2 linked regions of the Coturnix japonica genome follow. The protein of the gene in region 2 binds, or shares a complex with, the protein of the main gene of each other region. Links are inferred from orthologs where the notes say so. Each region holds a gene or a part of one and is shown on either strand. Other genes may lie near its edges.

What was found.
Region 1: the proteins of MUSK (region 2) and DOK7 are in contact, whole or in part, in a crystal structure (PDB 3ML4), measured with the Mus musculus proteins. The link is inferred for Coturnix japonica from reciprocal best matches to the Homo sapiens genes MUSK and DOK7. Residues at the interface, in NP_035074.2 of Mus musculus: Leu547, His548, Pro549, Asn550, Pro551, Met552, Tyr553, Gln554, Arg555; in NP_001335203.1 of Mus musculus: Leu154, Ser155, Asp156, Leu157, Arg158, Arg159, Tyr160, Gly161, Gly172, Thr173, Arg174, Ser193, Asp197, Val200, Arg201.

Annotation. Positions count from the first base shown.
Region 1 is NC_029519.1:74,389,628-74,394,155, forward strand, and holds the start of DOK7 (protein Dok-7), read right to left. Parts: upstream 2,976-4,528; 5' UTR 2,799-2,975; coding exon 2,745-2,798; intron 2,595-2,744; coding exon 2,549-2,594; intron 325-2,548; coding exon 79-324; intron 1-78. UniProt on the Homo sapiens protein: Probable muscle-intrinsic activator of MUSK that plays an essential role in neuromuscular synaptogenesis. Acts in aneural activation of MUSK and subsequent acetylcholine receptor (AchR) clustering in myotubes. Induces autophosphorylation of MUSK.
Region 2 is NC_029547.1:59,222,939-59,227,316, reverse strand, and holds the start of MUSK (muscle, skeletal receptor tyrosine-protein kinase), read right to left. Parts: upstream 2,819-4,378; 5' UTR 2,681-2,818; coding exon 2,602-2,680; intron 1-2,601.

The sequences.
Region 1 (4,528 bases), on a different chromosome or scaffold from region 2:
GTCATGGCTTTATTTTTTTTCCTGACAAGGAAAAAAAGGAATAGGAAAAAATAGGGAGTATGAGAAGACAAAGGTTACCTTCCCCCAAACTGTAGCGGATTCGTACATCCCACGCATACATTGTTTCCTTGTTCTCAAATCCTAGCATCACAACTTGAGAAAGACAGATGATTGCAAGGGTGTGATTCAAGCCCTCATAGGAGAGCCCAGGATCCAAGCCACAGATGTCTTCTAAGGTCACGCTGCTTCTCTCCTTGTGCCCTTTTGATCGTTCAGATTTATCCTTGTACACCAGCATGAGCAAACAGTCTAAAAGAAGCAAAACTGTCAGAGATGATGAGGCAGAACAGAACACAACACGTTTGTACCAAAGCAAAGTACTAAGAAAAGTGCTTCAGACAACTGCAGATCAGTCTGATCAAGCCAATACTAGATCTCAGCTTCCTTCCCCCACCCTACCCAGACAGGCTGCAGTCCACATTCAGGGAGCAGGCATATTTCAGCAGTCATCTGTGGGCTCAGAAATACAAAGACAAGAAAAAAAGTCTTCCCAATTACTTTGCAAAAACACACTGATTTCTTTTTTGCATTGTCTCCCAAGTTTTGAAGGGATTGACTCGTTAATTTTGAGCGTTAGAAGCTGGAGTATGATTGCTATCCATATTACAAGTGCTAAGAACCGCGAGGCTATTGTCATCTTTATTTCCATGAGAACATACTGAACCACAAACGAAATTCTTACAGTAGTTAACAGATTACTCAACTACTAAATGGTGAGCAGCCTGCCCGCACTGCCAGACATTGTGTCAGCTCAGGTTTCCCAGTGAAATGCTACACAGTAGCCATGCTCAATAATCATTATGTGCCACACCTCTATTTGTTTATGTCTTTTTAAACATGTCACCATTTGTCTTTAACCCCTTCCTGAGCATGTTATAATATAGATAGTATAGTATATAGTAATACTATGACAGTAAACATGCAGTGGAAGAATGTGACTCAAGCATCACGGTGCTCTAAGAAAAGCATGTTTCAGACAAAAACAAAGGGAGCATCATTTTCCCACCTTTTGCATACAACAAAAAGAGCATTCATTTTCACCCAGGTTCCCTTCCTATTGCACATCACTGGGTTATAACCCAAATTAATGGTCACCCAGGTTCCCTTCCTATTGCACATCACTGGGTTATAACCTGAATTAATGGTACACATCCGTAGCTGCCCTGCATGCCACCAGGAGGAAGCTCCTGTGCACCATTACATGAATGTTGGGGTGTGGTGCATCAGACCTGGCAAGGAGCCCTGCAACACTCAGCTGGGAAACAGCCTGGGAAAGCTCCGAAGAGCTGAAAAAACAACTGAAAGACCCAAAGCCTGCTCGCCAATCGTCTACATGCCGTCCCAATTGTTTTCTTGCACCTGTTAGCAAAAACAGCTGCCACTATGATACTTCTGCTGTGCAGTTGTGCATCTGAAGAAAGAACTGCTATGGCATACAGAGCGAGTGAAGCAAATCTTTGGGGGGAGGGGAATTTCTGGTAGATCTTCATACGTTTGGTAGAATGAAAACAGCATTTTTTGAGGAATAACATTATAAGTTTACTTTTGGAACTCCCCTATTTTTCCCTTTTATATTTGGTTAGACATCCAGGCCCATACCTGTATGTCTGGATGGTGACTTGTACTATCTAGAGTTGCCCGTTCGTGGAGAGAAGTTTAACAAATGTAGTAACAAAAATATCAACATTAAACTGTAAAAACCCATACCAAAAAATTGGTCTAAAGACCAAGATATAGCCACTCTACCAGCCAGAAAGGGCTCTGTAATGAATTCAGAGGCAATGTAGATCCACGTTTGGAAAATAGGCAACAACTTACCCCAGGAATAAATACTTTTGAGGCTAAATGGTTTTCCCATTAAAAATAAAAGTTAAAAAAATATATATATATTGGGAAACATGAAGCCTCCTTTTCCTTCTCCAGCATTAAAACATCAACTCTTCATAACATTTTCAGTTCTCCCTTGCAAACGGTGGAACTGAAGTTTTTAATTCAAGATGACATCTTATTTTTAAATTGAAACGCTCCGTGTCAAAACACAGAACAAAAATAACCACAGAGCTCACAATGGCAGCCTTTCACAGCCACCAATCACCCCCCGAAGAAGTAATTTCTAAAAGCAAGCGTTTGAAACGGGAACTAAACTCTCGGCGTTCGTTACGCTTCGGCGGGGTCTCCTTCGATATCCTCTTTCTATTTCTGGCCGCCTGGCTCTCCGCCAGCTGAGCCCAAAAAAGAAAATAAATAGATATTTCTTTCGTTGTTATTATTAATGTTATTTTAAAGGAGGAAAGAGCAACGACGGCTCGTGGAAACCTCCAGCCGAGGGGTCACTGCCTGAAACAGCACACCCGACGGGGTGCCCCGTAAAGAGCTTTTCTCCCTCTCCCTGTGCCCCGCACCCCCGGCAGGCGGAGGAAAGGCCCCGCGGCCGCCGGTCTCTCTCCCCCCTCCGCTCCCAGGCACAGGGTCCCCGCTCCGCTCTTACCTGCCACCGGGGAGGGCTTGCGCAGCACCAGCCACCTATTCTTCCACTGCAAGGAGAGGCAAAAAGACAGGGTTAGCCAGGGCCGGGAGAGGGAAGAGAGGGCTCTATTCCCCTCGTGAGGAGGGGGCGTCGGTCGGAGACCCCCAGCCCGTGCCGGCCGCGTGGCCGAACCGAAAGGGCACAGGGGAACTCGGACCTTTTTTCCTTCTCTCAACTTGACGTGACCCTCCACCACCACGGAATCCGTCATCTTCAGTCATGATTCCGGACAGCTGCGCCCGGCTCGCTGCTCCCTCCCCGCTCTCTGGCCGAGGGGTCACTTTCAAAATAGCTTTAGTAGGTCCCCGTTGAGGCACAGCGAGCTCGGCGGGCGATCGGCCAGCGCTGCCCGGCCCTCCCCGCGCCCCCCGCCCCGCCAGCTCAGAGGCCGGACCGGCTCCGGCTGAGGGGGGGTCCTATAAAGCTCCCCGCCGGTTCTGTGTTAACTTATTTTATTGCTTTGTGGAGTTTGCGCTTGTTTGCGTTTTATCGCTTCTGCAGGGTTTAAGTACATGCACATGAGAACCGGAGCACCCACAGCCTGATGAAGGCTGCTCCCGTCGATCTGCTCCGGCCGAGACCCCTGGAGGTGCCGAGCTTTGCGGGCAGCCCAGCTCCTCCAGCGCCGGGGCCGGAGGGAAAGCCCGGAGCGGAATCATCGCTGCCCTCTGTACGGCGGAGCTGCACCCGGCAGCCAGAATTCATGGAGCCACGCAATGTTCTGACTTAGAAGGGACATAAAACCCACCCGTCCCCAAGCCCTGCCGTGGGCTGGGTGCCCCCCACCAGCTTAGGCTGCCCAGTGCCCATCCAACCCAACCTTGAGCACGTCCAGGGATGGGGAACTCACAGCTCTCCAGGCAGCCTGTGCCAGGCCCCGCTACCCTCTGAGTAAAGAATTCCTTCCTAAATATCCCATCTTTTAGTTTAAAGCCACCCTCCTTTGTCCTCCCACTGTCAGACCATGTAAAAACTCCATTTCCCTTCTGTTTATAAGCTCGCTTCGAGTATTAGAAGATTACAAGGTCTCCCTGGATCGTTCCCTTCTCCATTCCTCTTTCAAAAAGTGTGACTACCCCTTCCCTTGGCTCTCAAAGTCATAGCCCACCTCTAATAAAAACACTTATTTCTTTTCCTTTGCAATGCAACTGCCATGAGATTACAGCCCACTTACCCCAAAACCGGTGCTGCTACAATTTATAGAATAGGATGTGTTAATTATGTCCTTAAATTCATTTCAATGAGAAATGGACTAATTAGAGTCCATTATTCTAAAAATACTCCTCTTGCATCTTATTTGATGGTAATTAGTCCTTCAGTTTTTTGTTGGTTTTTTTTTCCCCAACAGCAGCACAGCACATTTTTCTTTCAATAGCACAATAGAAGGGGTTTTTTTTAGATGTTTGCTTTTATTTCTTCTCTTTGAATTGGACAGTTTGCATGGAATAACCTGTAATTTAATAAAACCACCCTTAAGTGTGTGTCGTAATTAATTGGGAACGTGTTTGTTCAACTGGTTTTGCATTCTAATTCTATTTCAAGTTAAATGTTAGGGAAAAAAACATCAGAGAAACTTTCCTGGTAAATTTTAGCTGTATTTCATTTTAACACAAGCAATGAGCACTTAAATAGAGCTGGGCAGAATAGGGGAAACATTTCCACTGGAAAATGCTCAAGAGAAAAGACAGGAGGTGCTGAAGCACCTATAGGGATGTGAACAGCATTCTCAGTGGTGTGAGAGTTAAGGCATAGATCTCTTTTACTAACCCTGGGCATTTGCTTGCCACCCCAGTCTGGGAATGTGGATTGAATGTAGTGCATTCAACACACAGCGGAGCATCAGATCATAAAATCACCATCAAATCAATGCAATGCCAACAACAACAAAGAAAGAAACAAGCCATTTAGAAAGCCACAAATTCAATGTAGTGAATTCAAGTA
Region 2 (4,378 bases):
TAAGGGCAAAAACTAGAATGTCATTAGAGTTCAGTTGGAATGAAAGTAAGGCAAGAAAGAATGGACTTTCAACACTTTTTACAAAGACACCCTGACACCTTATAATGTCTTTAACACAAACTTGCCTCGATATAATTTCTGGATTATATGACTTCATATTCCATAGCTGGTAATTGATGTATTTATATAGAAAGAAAAACTTTAAAATATAGTAAAGGTAGTGCTAAATATTATATTTTTTATATAATAATTATATTATTAAATGCTAATTAAACCACATCTGCATCGGATTTGTTCTTGAGAAGACCAATTCAGAGTGTATCAGGATTCCATTTATAGGGTCACTCCAGGTCCTACTAAATAGAAATAATTATCCACACGGCATCCTCAGATGAATCACATCTCAGTGAAACCAAGTGGAAAATTTTCAGAAAGCCTAAATTTCCCTGCTACTAGCAGCTGACCTAGGAGAATAACTTCCTACTGATGGTTATCCTGTCTGCTTCAAAGGAGACGCCGCTTTTTCGTGACAGAGTTTATGAGGTTTTGATGGAATTAAGACTCACTGAAATAGAGTTTTATTATCCAATTTTATACTGTACATTTTTATTGCTGTTGCCCACATGCCTTTATCTCTGGGATGATGCTTTTTTAATCCTTAGAAATGTAATGTTTGCAGTAAAAACAGTTCAAAGCAGCCAGTTTTGTAATTGCATTGTCACTATGAAAACAGCATCATGATGAATAATAAAGATAGATTTGCTGTATGTACAATGAGGGTACTGTTCTCTCAGCCAAGTAAACCTGTCAGTTTTATGCAATGAATCAATTCATTAGCAACAGATAAGTACTTTCACTGTCTCTCCTCAATTTTACATATGACATCATTACTCTTAGCAGTGTGTCCCCCTGGCATCTCCTGACAGCAAACACACAACTCTTGGAATAGAATCCTACTCCCTCCTCATGGAGAATGCTGTCCAATCCGGCCTTACGTCACCTATGGTCAGAACAGAGAGGGAATTTTTTACACCTATCTTCTTAAGCTCTACAGAGCTACAACAGCACTGCATAATTCTCCTGTTTGCTCTTTTTATTTCCCATTCTAAAATCAAACACAGGGGCAGCAGGGAGGATGAAGGCAGTACTCCTTTCACTGAGGGGACACAGGCCTAGGATGTGGCCTACCTTCAGGATGTAGGAAGTAATGGAGCACGCCGCCATTTTGTCAGTGCTTGGTAAGAGAGCCCCAAATGGTTGAGATGGTGCCTCCTTACAATGGCCATCCAAAAAGCTATGGTATCAGCATCATTCCAAGCTTTCTCAGGAAAGCAGTCAAAACTTATGATGCCATTATTAGCAGATTTTAATGAGGAAAAACAAAACATTACAATATGTATTTATCAGTACAAAGAAATGGTATCATGTGCATGCATTGGGGCTCTCTGAAATTTTTAGGTAACCCTATGGGATTAGGTAACACTGAAAATCAATTAAGCTGCACATCTGCAAAGCTACTCTGGTGCCATTTTTGTGGATGTCAGCTGTAGTTTCCCAAGATAGCAAAATGATCCAATGGCAGTCACGGGGCCCATGGGAAAGCCAAAGCCCATGCTGCACCCACCCACCAGAAGCTACCAGGCCATTTAGGTGTGGGTAATGCATCTACCCACTATGTTTTAAGAGAACATGCCCATCATCTCCTCATTGTACTATGCTAGCAAGCTAAGAGGCAGTTACATTCCTCACTGATCCTCTTGTCCGCCCGATTCCATCCTATCATCACTTTGAAACAGAGTGGGGTTCACCAATTTACTCTACAGCCATCATAAAAAGTTGACATTTTGACTTAAATCACAAAAATCAGGTATTCTTTCCTCATTTTGAGGCCAACCTGAGTTCCATTTCTAAAGTGTGAGAGCAGCAATGCTGGCCTATCCTGACTCCTGGACTCCTCCTTGAAGTTTATAAGTTTATCTTGTTGGGTTTTTTTTTAAATCCCTGAAACTGCATAGCCCTGAATGCCTCCTGATAATCACTGTGGAATAAAGCCCTTTGTCCATAGGTTTACTGGATGGTAAGTCCTGAACACCAGTATTTATGTTGGCATATAGGGGACTATTATGAGCAGGTAATTTTTCAGTTCATGCATTTGCTGAAAGTATGCACACATGCAAGAGAGGAAGTCAAGGCAGCAACTCTCTACTTCATGTAGCAGACATGTTGGACATTTGTAGCCACATACACATGCTACGCAGATCTCAGAGTGCTGTCTTTAAGCCGTGTATCCCCACAGGTGCAACAGTGCTGGCCCTATGCTCGGCAGCAAGCTCTGTGACAGGACATGTCCATCCCACCCAGGCTGAACCCAAAGCCTTCACCTTCCCAATGCAACCGGATTCACTGCTACCCCTCCTCCTAGATACAACCTATTCTCACCATCCCTCACAACAGCAACCAAGCAACTACTCAACAGACAGACTTAAAAGCAGTAGATTTTCATGCAATTGCTAATGGCAGTCTTGCTGTCCTCCCCACTGTTGCTAGAGATGCATTTCCCTTCACAAAACACCCGGTTCAAGCAGAGCCCTTCCAGCAAACCTTTCTGAAGTGTCTCGGCCAGGCTGAGGGCAGCAAGGGTGAGGATGTACCCCAGGGGCACCACCAGCAGATCTCTCATCTCTGGTCCGAAGAGTGCCTGACACCACCGGGCCAGGCCAGCACGGCCCCGGTCCCCACTGCTGCACGTCGAGCTGCCCTGCTAATGACGGAGCAGGCTCTGCAGCTCTAAGTATAATCAGGAATTTCACGTCCCAGCAGCAGTGATGGACGTGGCCAGCTGGTGCGTATCCTCTTTGGGCAGTGTGAAAACGTGGGGCTTGTGAAACAAGAGAAAGCAAATCCCTCCTGAATTCCTTCTAAGCAAACAGTGGGGAGGACAATGGGCGAGTGCGTCGCAGGGCCATACTGGATCCCAGAGCTGGGAAAGCAGCAAAACATTTTGCTCTGTGCTGTGTAAAAGCAGTGGAGGAAAAACTTCTTACCACGGGGCTTCCCTTCAGCTTTGTTCTGCTCTTTTTCATTTTTTCCTCCCCTCCCTCTTGCACGTTCTGCCTCTGTCTTATTACAACTTTCTGTGATTCGCTGCAACATACCACCTGTTCCCTGCTGGTGGCATTACTTTTTTAAACAGATATCTTTGCTGCAGCAGGAGGCTGGCACTGGGGAGCTGAAACTGCTCTGCCAAGGCTGTCATCGATGTTTGGAAACTGCTACAGCACAGAGAAAGCAGAGTCTTTTGCTGAAACAGGCAGAAGAAAGTAGGCATGTTCACAGCAGGAGGGAAGGAGTGCTTCACTTCATCAGCAGCAGCTCCCCAGGGGATTTGGGCACAGATGAAATATACACATTGGGTACTATCATTGTTAATCCCCCAGAAATACCTTAGAATCCCACTGGTTTCTGTTTAAAGCAACAGCCTGGCAGTCAGAGCTTTCTTCAGAGCTCTAGAGGAGCACCGGTCTTGAGGGCAGCTCCTCACTCGGTCTGCCACCTCCTAACCCACCAGCCTGCATCATATGATCTTTCTCAAAAATGTCAAGTCCTTTTTGGTTCATGCTTTTCCTTTGTAAATATTTATACGAACAGCTTTTGCAATCAGTCCTCCCTGTGTGGGGGCAACATCTGTGTGAGGAAAAGGGGAAACGATGAATACTTAGCTTGGGAGAACTGGATTGATGGTGATGCCCTGGGAACATGACTCCAGATACTTTTCATCATGTTATCAGCAGAGCGGATGTGAGTTTGGCTCTGCAAAGTACTAAAAGGCCTTATTTGAGGAAAGGGAATGTGTGGTCATAACATATCACAATAGAAGGTACATGGAGATCTCTGGAATTTCCTTTATTTGCTGAGACTTTCCATCTCAGCAACCTATTAGAAGTGATTTCTGCAAAGAATGTGCACATCCAAGTGGTGGTCCCTCTGAGCAGCCAGTGGAGCAAGGCTGGACATGGCTAGGGCTGTGACTTTCACAGAGGTTCAGCACAACATGATAATGGCAATGTGAGTTTGGGCTGACTGGGAGTAAAGGCCCTCTGACAAGCATTCTCTGTACATGGATAAAAGCAAAAGCACTCAGTGAACATATGTTAAAGATCTTCCAGGAATTCTGGAGCTAGCAACAACAAAGCAAAACAACAAGGCAACAACGAAACAACAAAAGTCATACCAGGGAACAGAGAAATCCTGACTTATGGCTGAACTTACAAATATTTATTTTGCTTTGTTTAAGTCCAATCACATCCTATTAATCTACTCCACAGAAATGCAGCTTGATCTTTAAGAGTAAAATTCTCTCCAAGGAGCAAATTGACCA